3 linked regions of the Arabidopsis thaliana genome follow. The protein of the gene in region 2 interacts with the protein of the main gene of each other region in a pairwise test. Each region holds a gene or a part of one and is shown on either strand. Other genes may lie near its edges.

Region 1 (3,833 bases), on a different chromosome or scaffold from region 2:
CATTACATATAATGTTACACCGCAAGACCATACATCTGCAAGCTGGAAAAATGTAACACCAGCTATTTCAGAGGACAACTCAAAGAATATTTGTGGTATAAACAGTCATATGGATAAGCTGGTTTGAACTCTAGACAGAGGAATTGGTCTCATGGCCTTACCTTGCCATCATATTCCTGTCGAAGAAGAATCTCTGGTGCAATGTATGCAGGAGTACCAACAGTTGACTTTGGTTGGGAATGAAGAACAGAAGACTGAAGAAAAGAAACGCATAGTTAATACTTGAGCAGAAATCAAAGCGAAAACAGACACTTAGTAGGAAACACATGTAGGTAAAGAGCATGAACGATAAGAAGCACAACGAGGAATCACAAGATGTCCCCCGCTGTTCTGCGCTTGGCCATACAGTAGCATATATAAACTTAGAATTCAGAAAACAAACCTTGAGAGAAATAAATAGTACCTTGGAATAACCAAAATCACATATTTTCAAACGAGGTGCCGGACTTCCATCTAACAATGTATTTTCCAGCTTCAGATCCCGATGGCATATTTGCTTCACAGGAAAATCAAACACAGAATTAAAACCAGAGTGGTATACACGAGAACGAGAAAAGTTCAAGTAAGTTGCAAGAACACTGCTCTGCGTACCATTGCATGACAATAGCTAACTCCAGATATAAGCTGCTGAAAGAAGAACCGAGCCTATACATAAAAAAACTTAAAGATCAGTAGTCACACATCAATACCACAACACAGTACGATAAATCAGAATCCAAACCTCATCTTCACTAAACCGTCCGGCATTACAAATCCGCTCATAAAGTTCTCCACCAGCAGCATATTCCATAACAATAGCCAAATGGGAAGGCGTCAAAATCACCTAAACCATTACAAAAACACACACAAAACAAACTCTAAACCACACTGACTTAATACACAAACACACACAGAAGAAACATCAAGGTGTATTATATTATACCTCTTTAAACCTAACAATATTAGGATGTCTCAATGATCTATGATTGATAATCTCCCTCTGAACATTTTCATCAATCTGCAAAACAACCATAAAAAAAAGTATCATCATTTATTGAGAAATATCAAAACTTTTCAAAAGCATTTAATCATAGTAACAGTAAGTAACCACCATTAAAGACACTAGATCAACAAGCTCTAAAAAGGAAAGCTACTAAATCTGGAAACTAAAAATAATCGATCATCAATCAATCACTAAAGCCTATAAATATCAAATCTTTTTTTCATTCAAAAAAAAAAAGACGAAACCTTTTCTCCTCTCTCGATGTATTTAACAGCAACAAGCTCCTTGGTGACTCTATCGGTCATGAGACGAGCAACGCCGAAATTACCAGAGCCAATATCTTTAACGAAGTCGTAACGATCACTGTCGTGCATAATCGGTAAATCAATCGGCATAATCGGTGAATTAGTCGCCGGATCCATTTTTTCTGATTCTTCTCTTCCTCTATTGCTCTTCCTAATCACATCAGATTAAGTCGAAGAATCTTCTGGAGTAGCTGGAATCTAGAAGAAGAAGAAGGAGAAAAATATCTAAGGAAGGATATGAATTTGGGGGAAAAAGATGGATCAACGACGAATGAGAAAGACAAAGGCAATTATTGGTCGCTCTCTAAGTTAGATAAGAGGAGAGAGATGTTTGCAACGACACCGTTTTCTTTGTTTTAGTTATCTGATTTGATACGACAAAGGCCGCCGCGTTTTGGTGATTTTTTTTTTTTTTTTTTCAAATATTTTTTTTTTTGGTTTTTTTAGGTATCAATATTAATTTTACTGTTCTATATTATCAACACAATTTGGTTGCTCCTAAAATTTGTAATTGAATGAGTACGAATTGTGAGGTGAGTAAATTGTTATGTCTTTCTTAAATTAATTATGTGAATGTCTCATGTATATATGTATTGTTTTACCTTCACTTGTACTTGTTTACTTCCAAAATATCCCAACTTTATGTGGGTGATTGTGGTCGTATTTTGAGCCAAGTCAGAAATTGTTTTTGTCACGAACAAAAAAAAGCTTCTTATAGATCATATAAGACGTTTTCACGTACACAGCAATGTTACATTAACCTTTTTCTAATTTTATAACTCTTGTCTAGTCGTTTGTACATAACTACAAGTGCACCTTTATTATTTTGTTATGGCAGAGTGTAGTTCTACACAAGGTCCTTGTTGAATGTTGGAGTATTTGTAAAAGAAATAATCAAATTGACTAAGGATCCTGATTAGAAATGTTAAGGTTTACGGCTTGAACTGCCGCTGAGTTTATTAACGTAAAGATAGTGATGAGGCAAAAAGTACTTTTTCGAATCTTAAAAACCAAAAAAAGCTCCGTTACCGGGAATCGAACCCGGGTCTCCTGGGTGAAAGCCAGATATCCTAACCGCTGGACGATAACGGATGTTTTGTTAACTAAAAACAATAATTGTATTTATATCTTAATGTAGTTATACAAACGACTAGACAAGACTTAAAAAGATTTTAAAAGCTTACCATTGTTATCAAGATTCAATATGATAATGATTAATGTAGGTTAAAGCATGGTCCAAATTTTTGATAAGAACTTTTGTCACGGTAACTCTCCTCATCGTGCTGCATCTGCGTCTCTTGCATTTGAGCGCTTTGTGTGGATGCAAAACGTTGAGCCTCGTTATACAACTGTTGACCCGTTAAACAACCACCGTTATTAGGTGTGTGTTCCGGTATCATCATAGGATTGTTATGCATTTCCAGATTCGTCATCGAAGGTGGTGGCACAAATGTGGGGACGATACAGTAAGAGGCAAGTTCGTTCTTGACGATCGCGAGTTGTTCTTCCAAGTCTTTAATCTGACTAAGGAGGTTGTAAATGATACCCAGACAGCCATTGACCGGATCATTGGCTTGAACTTGTGCCTCCCAAGCGAGCGTGTCCATGGCAAATTCTCTTTGGCATGGGTGAAGACTGTTGATAAGTGTAGCCACATGGCTTGCTCCAAATACCTTGTGAACCGCTTCGTAGTTGTCCAGTTTAGTCGAGGGGAAGTAAGGCGCAAACACACAATCTTCTGTGCATTTTCTCCTCAGGTGCTTGCATGCCGCGCATGGTGTCGATATTTTGTCCATTTGATGAAACATCATAATCTGTGAAAGAAAGAAAGAAAATGTAATTGTACATTTTTGATCATTTCTAGAATATATACAAAATACATTTAAATATAGGATATATCGAAATACATGATGTAATTTTTTCCTTTTAAACTGAATCAAACAAACATATTTACAGAATCTTTTTCTTAAACACGAAAATCCGAAACATGAAAAAAACAAAAACAAAAGGGAAAATCGTATGCCTAGGTCTATACACGAACTGAAAAAAAAAAATCACAACCTACGAATTTTTATGTGAATTCTAAACAGTAAAGAGATTAAGGTTTCTAAATAATATAGTAATCAGAATAGCCAATCAAAATCGTGGATTGCGTTGTACTGCACTCAAATATGTTAGAGAAGGTGTGAAGATGAAAACACAAACCTCAATGCATAATAAGAAGATGAATCTAATCAAGCGAATATCACCTGATTTCTAAACCCTATATATTAATAGAGATAAAGAATGGATATAAAATGAAATCAAATCGGTATTTATATGAAAATAAAAAAGGAAGATGAATAGAGAGATTCAGTTTTTAACCTAAACACAATGCTTCTTCAAATTCTATTCCCTACTTGTAAAATGCGTTTTGAGAAAGAACCTAAAATTGATCAACACAGATTTAGGTCAAAATTTCCTACCACGCAATTTTACTTATATAG
Region 2 (3,833 bases):
AATGAAACAGAAATGCGAGAGACTTAGTCAAGTCATGACCAAGTCCTTAATCGTATCTTGGATTGGGCTTGCGCAGACGTTTGGGCCGAACGTTGATGTTGGGCTGAATGTCCTCATCATGCTATGCCTCATAACTCATTCCTCAAAGCTTTCTTCTAATCATAATTTATTTGTTTTTTGTTTTTTTAATTTGCATCGTGAGGTCTTCTTTTTGATCCAATCAATGGACCTCTTTCTAAGAGTTCAACTACTCTTAACAACTTTAGGTCTTCTAGACACATAGAAAGTAATAAATATATATGGGCATGACACTAAGGTTTCATTCTTTTTCTTTATTGTGGTTTAGGTTTTTGATCTAATTTTGTTATTGTAAGAATTATTTTGTAATTTTGTTATTATCTTACCATGGAATTAAGAAAAAGTAAATTTCTTCAAACTTACCCTGTTGTTGCAACTTACATATTAAACTCTCTCTTTTTTGTTAAAAAAAGGTTATATATCTTTTAACCTTCTAGGATTTTAGCCTAGCTGAAAAAAAGTTACACATTAAACTTGTTTTTGTTAACAACGTTTTAGCATTTCGGTTGTGTGTTGTTTCTTCCGGTTGTTATAGTTTCGTACTTTCGTTGGTTTTGAGTTTTGGATTCTTGAAAGGTGGTTATAATTTATACATTTTGTTTCTACACGACCTTAAAGAAGTAACTTCAATTAATTAAATCTAATTCGGGAAAGAGCACGTCTCAAAAGAGTCGTCGAGTCCCATGTGAATTCTATATGATAACATTAAACAAAATCACGGTTCCATATTTGTTTAATACTAGTATGTATTGCAGAGTAGACTTTCCTAATCCAGTAGATTCTTAAAGAAAAAATAATATAAAAAGATTGAAAATAGAAATAAAAGATGGGAGACACGAAGGGTCACTTGTATTGTACCGAGTCCAAATGTAAAGAAGTCTCAATAATGGTGTAATAAAATAAAGAAGTTGAAGACAAGATCACAATCACCATGTGAAGATCAACACACAAGATCATAATTTTATTGTATGTTTGCTTCATTTCAACTTTTTTAAATATTGTTAAGAGGGCAGGCATTGAGTGCGCCACGTGGCAAATGACCATCCCTTTGTAGGTGCAGCAAACGTGATAAAGATTCCGGACTGTTCACCCATTCCCTTCTTCCATTTGTTTCTTATTTTTTCTTACAAATCTTATCGTATCATAATTTTTTTTCCATAATGCGCTCCCTTGAATGGAATAACGTTGGTTATTTTGTTTCCAACCAAATTTTCATACCATTCGATCAAATAGGTGCATCAACTTACAAGAAATGAAAGTGTGATCCCTATTTTATTAGGTAGCTAAGTAAGTGTTAGTGAACACTACGTTAGATTGTTACTCAAATAACGGATCAACGAATCTCGTATTCATTACTATACTGCTAATGAATGCATCAATTTTAATTTTTATTGGTTATCTATCCTTAAAAAAAAGTTATAAGAATATTTTGATAATTTGTTCCAAGATGTAGTACTAGTAGTAGTACTTGGTCTCGTAAACGACGACGCCGTTTAGGAAATCAAACGGCCAAAAATGCTTCCACTTTGCGAAATTTTATTGGTGGGAAACGCAAATGTATCGATAATGATTTAAAGAAAAAGCGGCGTTTCTAATTGGACCACGTTGCCCAATCTCTACGGCTCACGCACGATCTGACGTCAAATTGGCATAATACTATAATAACCTTATCGAGAATAAAATAATAGTCGCATCCAAACAAAAGAAACCAACCCTTTTATATCACGACGAGTGTCACGCCATGGACACTTGTCCATCTCTCTCGCTCTGACCCCTTTCAGGTATCTTTTATTTCTCAAAGAGGAATTATTGATTTTCCATTTCCAAAGAAAAAAAATAAATTCGAAGGTCAGGAAAATTAACAAAAAACTTCCTTTTTTTTTTTGTTAGTTTGTGTGACTGAGCTGCTTCATTTTTTTTCTTTCTTTTTTTTTTTGGTTTGATGAATCGATTTTTGTTGTCTATTACTGATTGGTTTTCTTGTTCAGATTCACTGATTCGAAGAGAATCATGATTTTTTTTTCCCGCTGAATAATAAGCATATGATTGGGTGTTTTGGAGATTTGTTTACTGATTAAAAGGAGATTCCTTTCCATTTTCACCATTTGCTCTGTTTGACTTCATTGTGCTTATATTTCATTTAGATCTTTTGTTTGGGTTTAGCTTTGGAACTGATAAAAATCTGATTTTGTCTCACGGCTTTGGATTTGGTTCTTAAATTTTGGTACTTTAAAACTGGATAAAGATCAGTGCTTTTTTAGATTCTTCGTTTGTTGATGAATTTATGGATGTATGTATAATTAAACCATAATCTCTCTGCTTGTTTGTTTTCTTATAGGTAAATATCCAGAAGCTTGATCCTCCTAGTTGTACGAAAGCTTGAGTAATGGGGTCTAGATTAAACTTCAAGAGCTTTGTTGATGGTGTGAGTGAGCAGCAGCCAACGGTGGGGACTAGTCTTCCATTGACTAGGCAGAACTCTGTGTTCTCGTTAACCTTTGATGAGTTTCAGAACTCATGGGGTGGTGGAATTGGGAAAGATTTTGGGTCTATGAACATGGATGAGCTCTTGAAGAACATTTGGACTGCAGAGGAAAGTCATTCAATGATGGGAAACAATACCAGTTACACCAACATCAGCAATGGTAATAGTGGAAACACTGTTATTAACGGCGGTGGTAACAACATTGGTGGGTTAGCTGTTGGTGTGGGAGGAGAAAGTGGTGGTTTTTTCACTGGTGGGAGTTTGCAGAGACAAGGTTCACTTACCTTGCCTCGGACGATTAGTCAGAAAAGGGTTGATGATGTCTGGAAGGAGCTGATGAAGGAGGATGACATTGGAAATGGTGTTGTTAATGGTGGGACAAGCGGAATTCCGCAGAGGCAACAAACGCTGGGAGAGATGACTTTGGAGGAGTTTTTGGTCAGGGCTGGTGTGGTTAGGGAAGAACCTCAACCGGTGGAGAGTGTAACTAACTTCAATGGCGGATTCTATGGATTTGGCAGTAATGGAGGTCTTGGGACAGCTAGTAATGGGTTTGTTGCAAACCAACCTCAAGATTTGTCAGGAAATGGAGTAGCGGTGAGACAGGATCTGCTGACTGCTCAAACTCAGCCACTACAGATGCAGCAGCCACAGATGGTGCAGCAGCCACAGATGGTGCAGCAGCCGCAACAACTGATACAGACGCAGGAGAGGCCTTTTCCCAAACAGACCACTATAGCATTTTCCAACACTGTTGATGTGGTTAACCGTTCTCAACCTGCAACACAGGTGACTAAAGAACCTAAGCTACTACATTTTGTAGGAAATACAATCATCTGAAAAATATTAGACGTAGCCTTCATGTTTTAAGATAAGCTGGTTTTGGATATGCATGTATGTTTCAGTTATCTGAGCATGACTTGTTTTTACTTTTTTCGCAGTGCCAGGAAGTGAAGCCTTCAATACTTGGAATTCATAACCATCCTATGAACAACAATCTACTGCAAGCTGTCGATTTTAAAACAGGAGTAACGGTTGCAGCAGTATCTCCTGGAAGCCAGATGTCACCTGATCTGACTCCAAAGAGCGCCCTGGATGCATCTTTGTCCCCTGTTCCTTACATGTTTGGGCGAGTGAGAAAAACAGGTGCAGTTCTGGAGAAAGTGATTGAGAGAAGGCAAAAAAGGATGATAAAGAATAGGGAATCAGCTGCAAGATCCCGCGCTCGCAAGCAAGTGAGTGTTTGTTTAAATTTTGGAGATTAAAGAAA
Region 3 (3,600 bases), on a different chromosome or scaffold from region 2:
TCATCAGGGATTGAGTATTTAACGCTAAGGATTCTCTGTGTTTCAGAATCATTAAGAGAATAAGAGGAACATCAAGAGATGAACAAAAGGAACAACGTTTTAAGCGGTTACCTGTATTGTTTTCCGATAGTCTCTTGGCTCTTCTGGATCTTCGAACGGATACGCTCCAACCAACATGACGTATAAGGTCACACCACATGACCATACATCTGCAATCTGGTAACCGTAACACTCAATGATTGGCTATTCATCCTTAGAAATACAGAGATTACAGAGGAATTCTCTAAAAGCCTTTACCTTGCCATCATATTCCTGACGAAGCAGTACCTCTGGAGCGATGTATGCAGGAGTACCAACAGTTGACTTTGGTTGTGAATGAAGAACAGAAGACTGTCAAAAAGAAATGCATAAGCAAACACTTTAAAAACACATTTGAACATGACAATGGAGGAACCACAAGTGTATAGTTTCTGATACCAAAAGAACAAAATCATTTGTGATACCTTTGAATATCCAAAATCACAAATTTTTAATCGAGGAGCAGGACTTCCATCCAACAATGTATTCTCTAGCTTCAGGTCACGATGGCAAATTTGCTTCACAGCACATGAAAAAAAGTAGAGTATTAACAACAAGTTAGAAAAAAACAAGAATACAACCAGTCCATAGGCTCCATGAAACAGATTCTCTACATACCATCGAATGACAATAACTGACTCCAGATAGAAGCTGCTGAAAGAAGAACCGAGCCTGTTTACAAGAAGAGATCAAACCATAAGGAAACCGGAGACCTGTAAACCCGATAAGAGAACCAAATACAAACCTCATCTTCACTAAACCGTCCTGCATTGCAAATCCGCTCGTAAAGTTCACCGCCAGAAGCATATTCCATTATGATAGCCAGATGAGTCGGCGTCAAAATGACCTATCCTCAAGTACAAGAAACAGAGTTTAAAAGAGTCACTGGCTTAACAAATTCCAAAAAGACAAGTACTGAAGAAAAGTGTATAAATTTTACCTCTTTAAATCTGACAATATTAGGATGCCTTAGTGACCTGTGGTTAATGATCTCCCTTTGAACATTTTCATCAATCTGCAACTCCCATAGTTACAAGTCATTCACAACTGTCCTAATCTACAAAAGCAGAACACTCAAAACCAACTAAAAAAATCATTTCAATATCCAAAATTTCACATAAATCACAAATTAAAATCATCATTCAAGTGTTAGGAAGCTCACATCTTTAAAATCACATTAAAAGCACTCAAAAGCATAATCATCAAAATCTAAAAACGCTAACTTTAAGTACGAAACCAATAAATCTGGAAAGTGAAAGCTAAACCAAACACTAAAAATGAACGATCACTGGACTAAATAAATATCATCAACTTCCAAAAATAGAAAAAGATGAGATTTTTAAAAATGAAACCTTGTCTCCTCTCTCGATGTACTTGACAGCAACAAGCTCTTTAGTGAGTTTATCTCTCATAAGACGAGCAACACCGAAATTACCAGAACCAATATCCTTAACGAAGTCATATCGATCACTGTCGTGCATAATCGGCATATCCAACGGTCCTGTGGTCACCGGAGCTCGATCCATTTCTGATCACAAAAAGAGAAATTCGAATCTAATACCCAGCAGAGAATATGTTGTTGTTGTTGTTGTTAAGTCGCTGGAATCTAGGAAGAAGAAGAAGATTCGAGAAAATAAATGGAAAAATATCTTCAAGAAGAGAACGAATAAGGAAAGAGAGGAAGAAAAAAGGCAATAATTGGTTGCCCCAAGAGATAAGGATTGTCCCAAAACGACAACGTTCAGTTGCTTTGATACGACAAGAGCCGCCGCGTTTTGATGATTGATGTTGCTTCCTAAGAAACTATAACCCAAAAATATTAAAATTAACATGAAATAAAAAAAGAAAAAGCACGACTTCACTCGTCCTTGTCTCCTAAAATACAAACCTTTTTTCTCTAAATTCTCTGTATTTATCCGTTTCGATTTTTTTCTATTTTTCTTCGTTTTTCTCATTTTGAGAATTCGTATCAAACAAATAAATATTTGTGTTAAAAATAAGTAAAAGAAGAAGATATATTCGTTATAAATAACAAGATATTCTAATTAAAAAAAATAGTTTGGAGGAAACAGAAAAACTTAGTTCATAAGGAAAACAGAAGCTTGAAAGTCACGTGCTGCAGAAGCGGCCATGTGATGAAAGAATATTCGGTTGCGTTATTCCGTTACTTGACGGCGTTAGAAATAGACACTGATGACATTGACACTGACGTGGCAACTTCTAAGCATTTTTTAATTTAGTTGATGGGCCTGCCTCTAATTTTTACATAGAAAAGTCCTTTAGGCCAGCCCAATCCCACCATGGATGACATGGACAGTGACGTGACAACTTCTAAGCATTTTTCAATTTAATTGATGGGCCTGGCTCTAATTTTGTTAAAGAAAATGCCTAAAGATATAAGCAAAAGGCCAGCCCAATTACAATATTGATGATTAATTGGATGAATAGCATTTTATCATATTTGCATGAAATATATAGTCAAATCTTAGGTCATTGATTTTGTCGGTCCATATATATATAGAGACACACTTAAATTAGAATCTACTAAGGACTGTTGTATTAAATTGGATGTTGGATTGACCTAGTTAGAAATCTTTATATGGATTTATTGCGACACGAGACATTGATAAGAGTACCGAGGAAGGTACACTAGTGTGACTAGTGTTAGAGATAGCGAGGTGTATGTATAATTTTACTCTTAAGTTAATGAAAAGGAGTGAATGGTGTTTATGGGTAAGTGCGCAATTAATGGGTCAGTGCTTAATTTAATGGCCGATGCTCATCAATTTCACCACCTTCTCTTTATTGCTATACTAAGCATCCTACTGGTGAGATTAATATACTATTATATGCACATGCACATGAACATTAAGTATCCATGTTTCTCATGAATCATTCAGATCAAATATCTAAGCCACACTCACATTGATTTAGCTACTGATTGTTATGATCATCATGGTATGGACAAATGTGTTAAAGTGAATGAAAGTCTAATAATTTAGATTGGTGTGAGTATGTTAACTTAAATGTTACATCTGTTTTTCAGCCGGTTTTGATTCATGCGAATTCGTGAGGATTAAACACATCATGTAATATTGGGAGAGTCTTGAGGGATGGTTTATAAAGATAAAACGGTGATGATATAGAAGAGAGAGCCAAAAATAAATTAGTGAGTGGTCAAAGATTGTTAATAAATGAACCAACACAATCTTAATTGCCAAGCATTCACACTTAACTACTTCTTTAGCTTCATCTAGCTACTTGATGATTATTATATGCGTTTCCTTGTTTATATGTGAAGCACACACTCTCTTTTAAAAAATGATGTAGCCTTTTTGTAATTTGTTTTTCCTTAGCCTTTTTGGTATCATTATGATAATGTTTTCATAAACTAAACTCTTTTTGTTTCTTATTTCGCATTTTAAACTTTAGGTATATATAACAGGATCGATACTTTTCCAGAAACAAAAAAAAATGTAAATGCGGATATACAAAGATAGATTATTCATACTTTTTAATTTA

Evidence for each region.
Region 1: the proteins of ABF3 (region 2) and SNRK2.2 interact in a protein complementation assay, tested with the Arabidopsis thaliana proteins (2 studies listed by BioGRID, with this or other methods).
Region 3: the proteins of ABF3 (region 2) and SNRK2.3 interact in a protein complementation assay, tested with the Arabidopsis thaliana proteins (one study listed by BioGRID).

The regions. Positions count from the first base shown.
Region 1 is NC_003074.8:18,742,441-18,746,273, forward strand, and holds the start of SNRK2.2 (SNF1-related protein kinase 2.2), read right to left. Parts: upstream 1,718-3,833; 5' UTR 1,465-1,717; coding exon 1,288-1,464; intron 1,058-1,287; coding exon 983-1,057; intron 884-982; coding exon 782-883; intron 706-781; coding exon 652-705; intron 557-651; coding exon 443-556; intron 255-442; coding exon 162-254; intron 43-161; coding exon 1-42. Other genes in the region: LBD28 (LOB domain-containing protein 28), read right to left, coding at 2,562-3,158. UniProt on the Arabidopsis thaliana protein: Together with SRK2I, key component and activator of the abscisic acid (ABA) signaling pathway that regulates numerous ABA responses, such as seed germination, Pro accumulation, root growth inhibition, dormancy and seedling growth, and, to a lesser extent, stomatal closure.
Region 2 is NC_003075.7:16,293,544-16,297,376, forward strand, and holds the start of ABF3 (abscisic acid responsive elements-binding factor 3), read left to right. Parts: upstream 1-1,790; 5' UTR 1,791-2,464; coding exon 2,465-3,352; intron 3,353-3,504; coding exon 3,505-3,798; intron 3,799-3,833. UniProt on the Arabidopsis thaliana protein: Binds to the ABA-responsive element (ABRE). Mediates stress-responsive ABA signaling.
Region 3 is NC_003076.8:26,708,701-26,712,300, reverse strand, and holds the start of SNRK2.3 (sucrose nonfermenting 1(SNF1)-related protein kinase 2.3), read right to left. Parts: upstream 2,000-3,600; 5' UTR 1,967-1,999; intron 1,882-1,966; 5' UTR 1,605-1,881; coding exon 1,431-1,604; exon of another isoform or gene 1,094-1,430; coding exon 1,019-1,093; intron 926-1,018; coding exon 824-925; intron 751-823; coding exon 697-750; intron 597-696; coding exon 504-596; intron 391-503; coding exon 298-390; intron 217-297; coding exon 112-216; intron 36-111; coding exon 1-35. UniProt on the Arabidopsis thaliana protein: Together with SRK2D, key component and activator of the abscisic acid (ABA) signaling pathway that regulates numerous ABA responses, such as seed germination, Pro accumulation, root growth inhibition, dormancy and seedling growth, and, to a lesser extent, stomatal closure.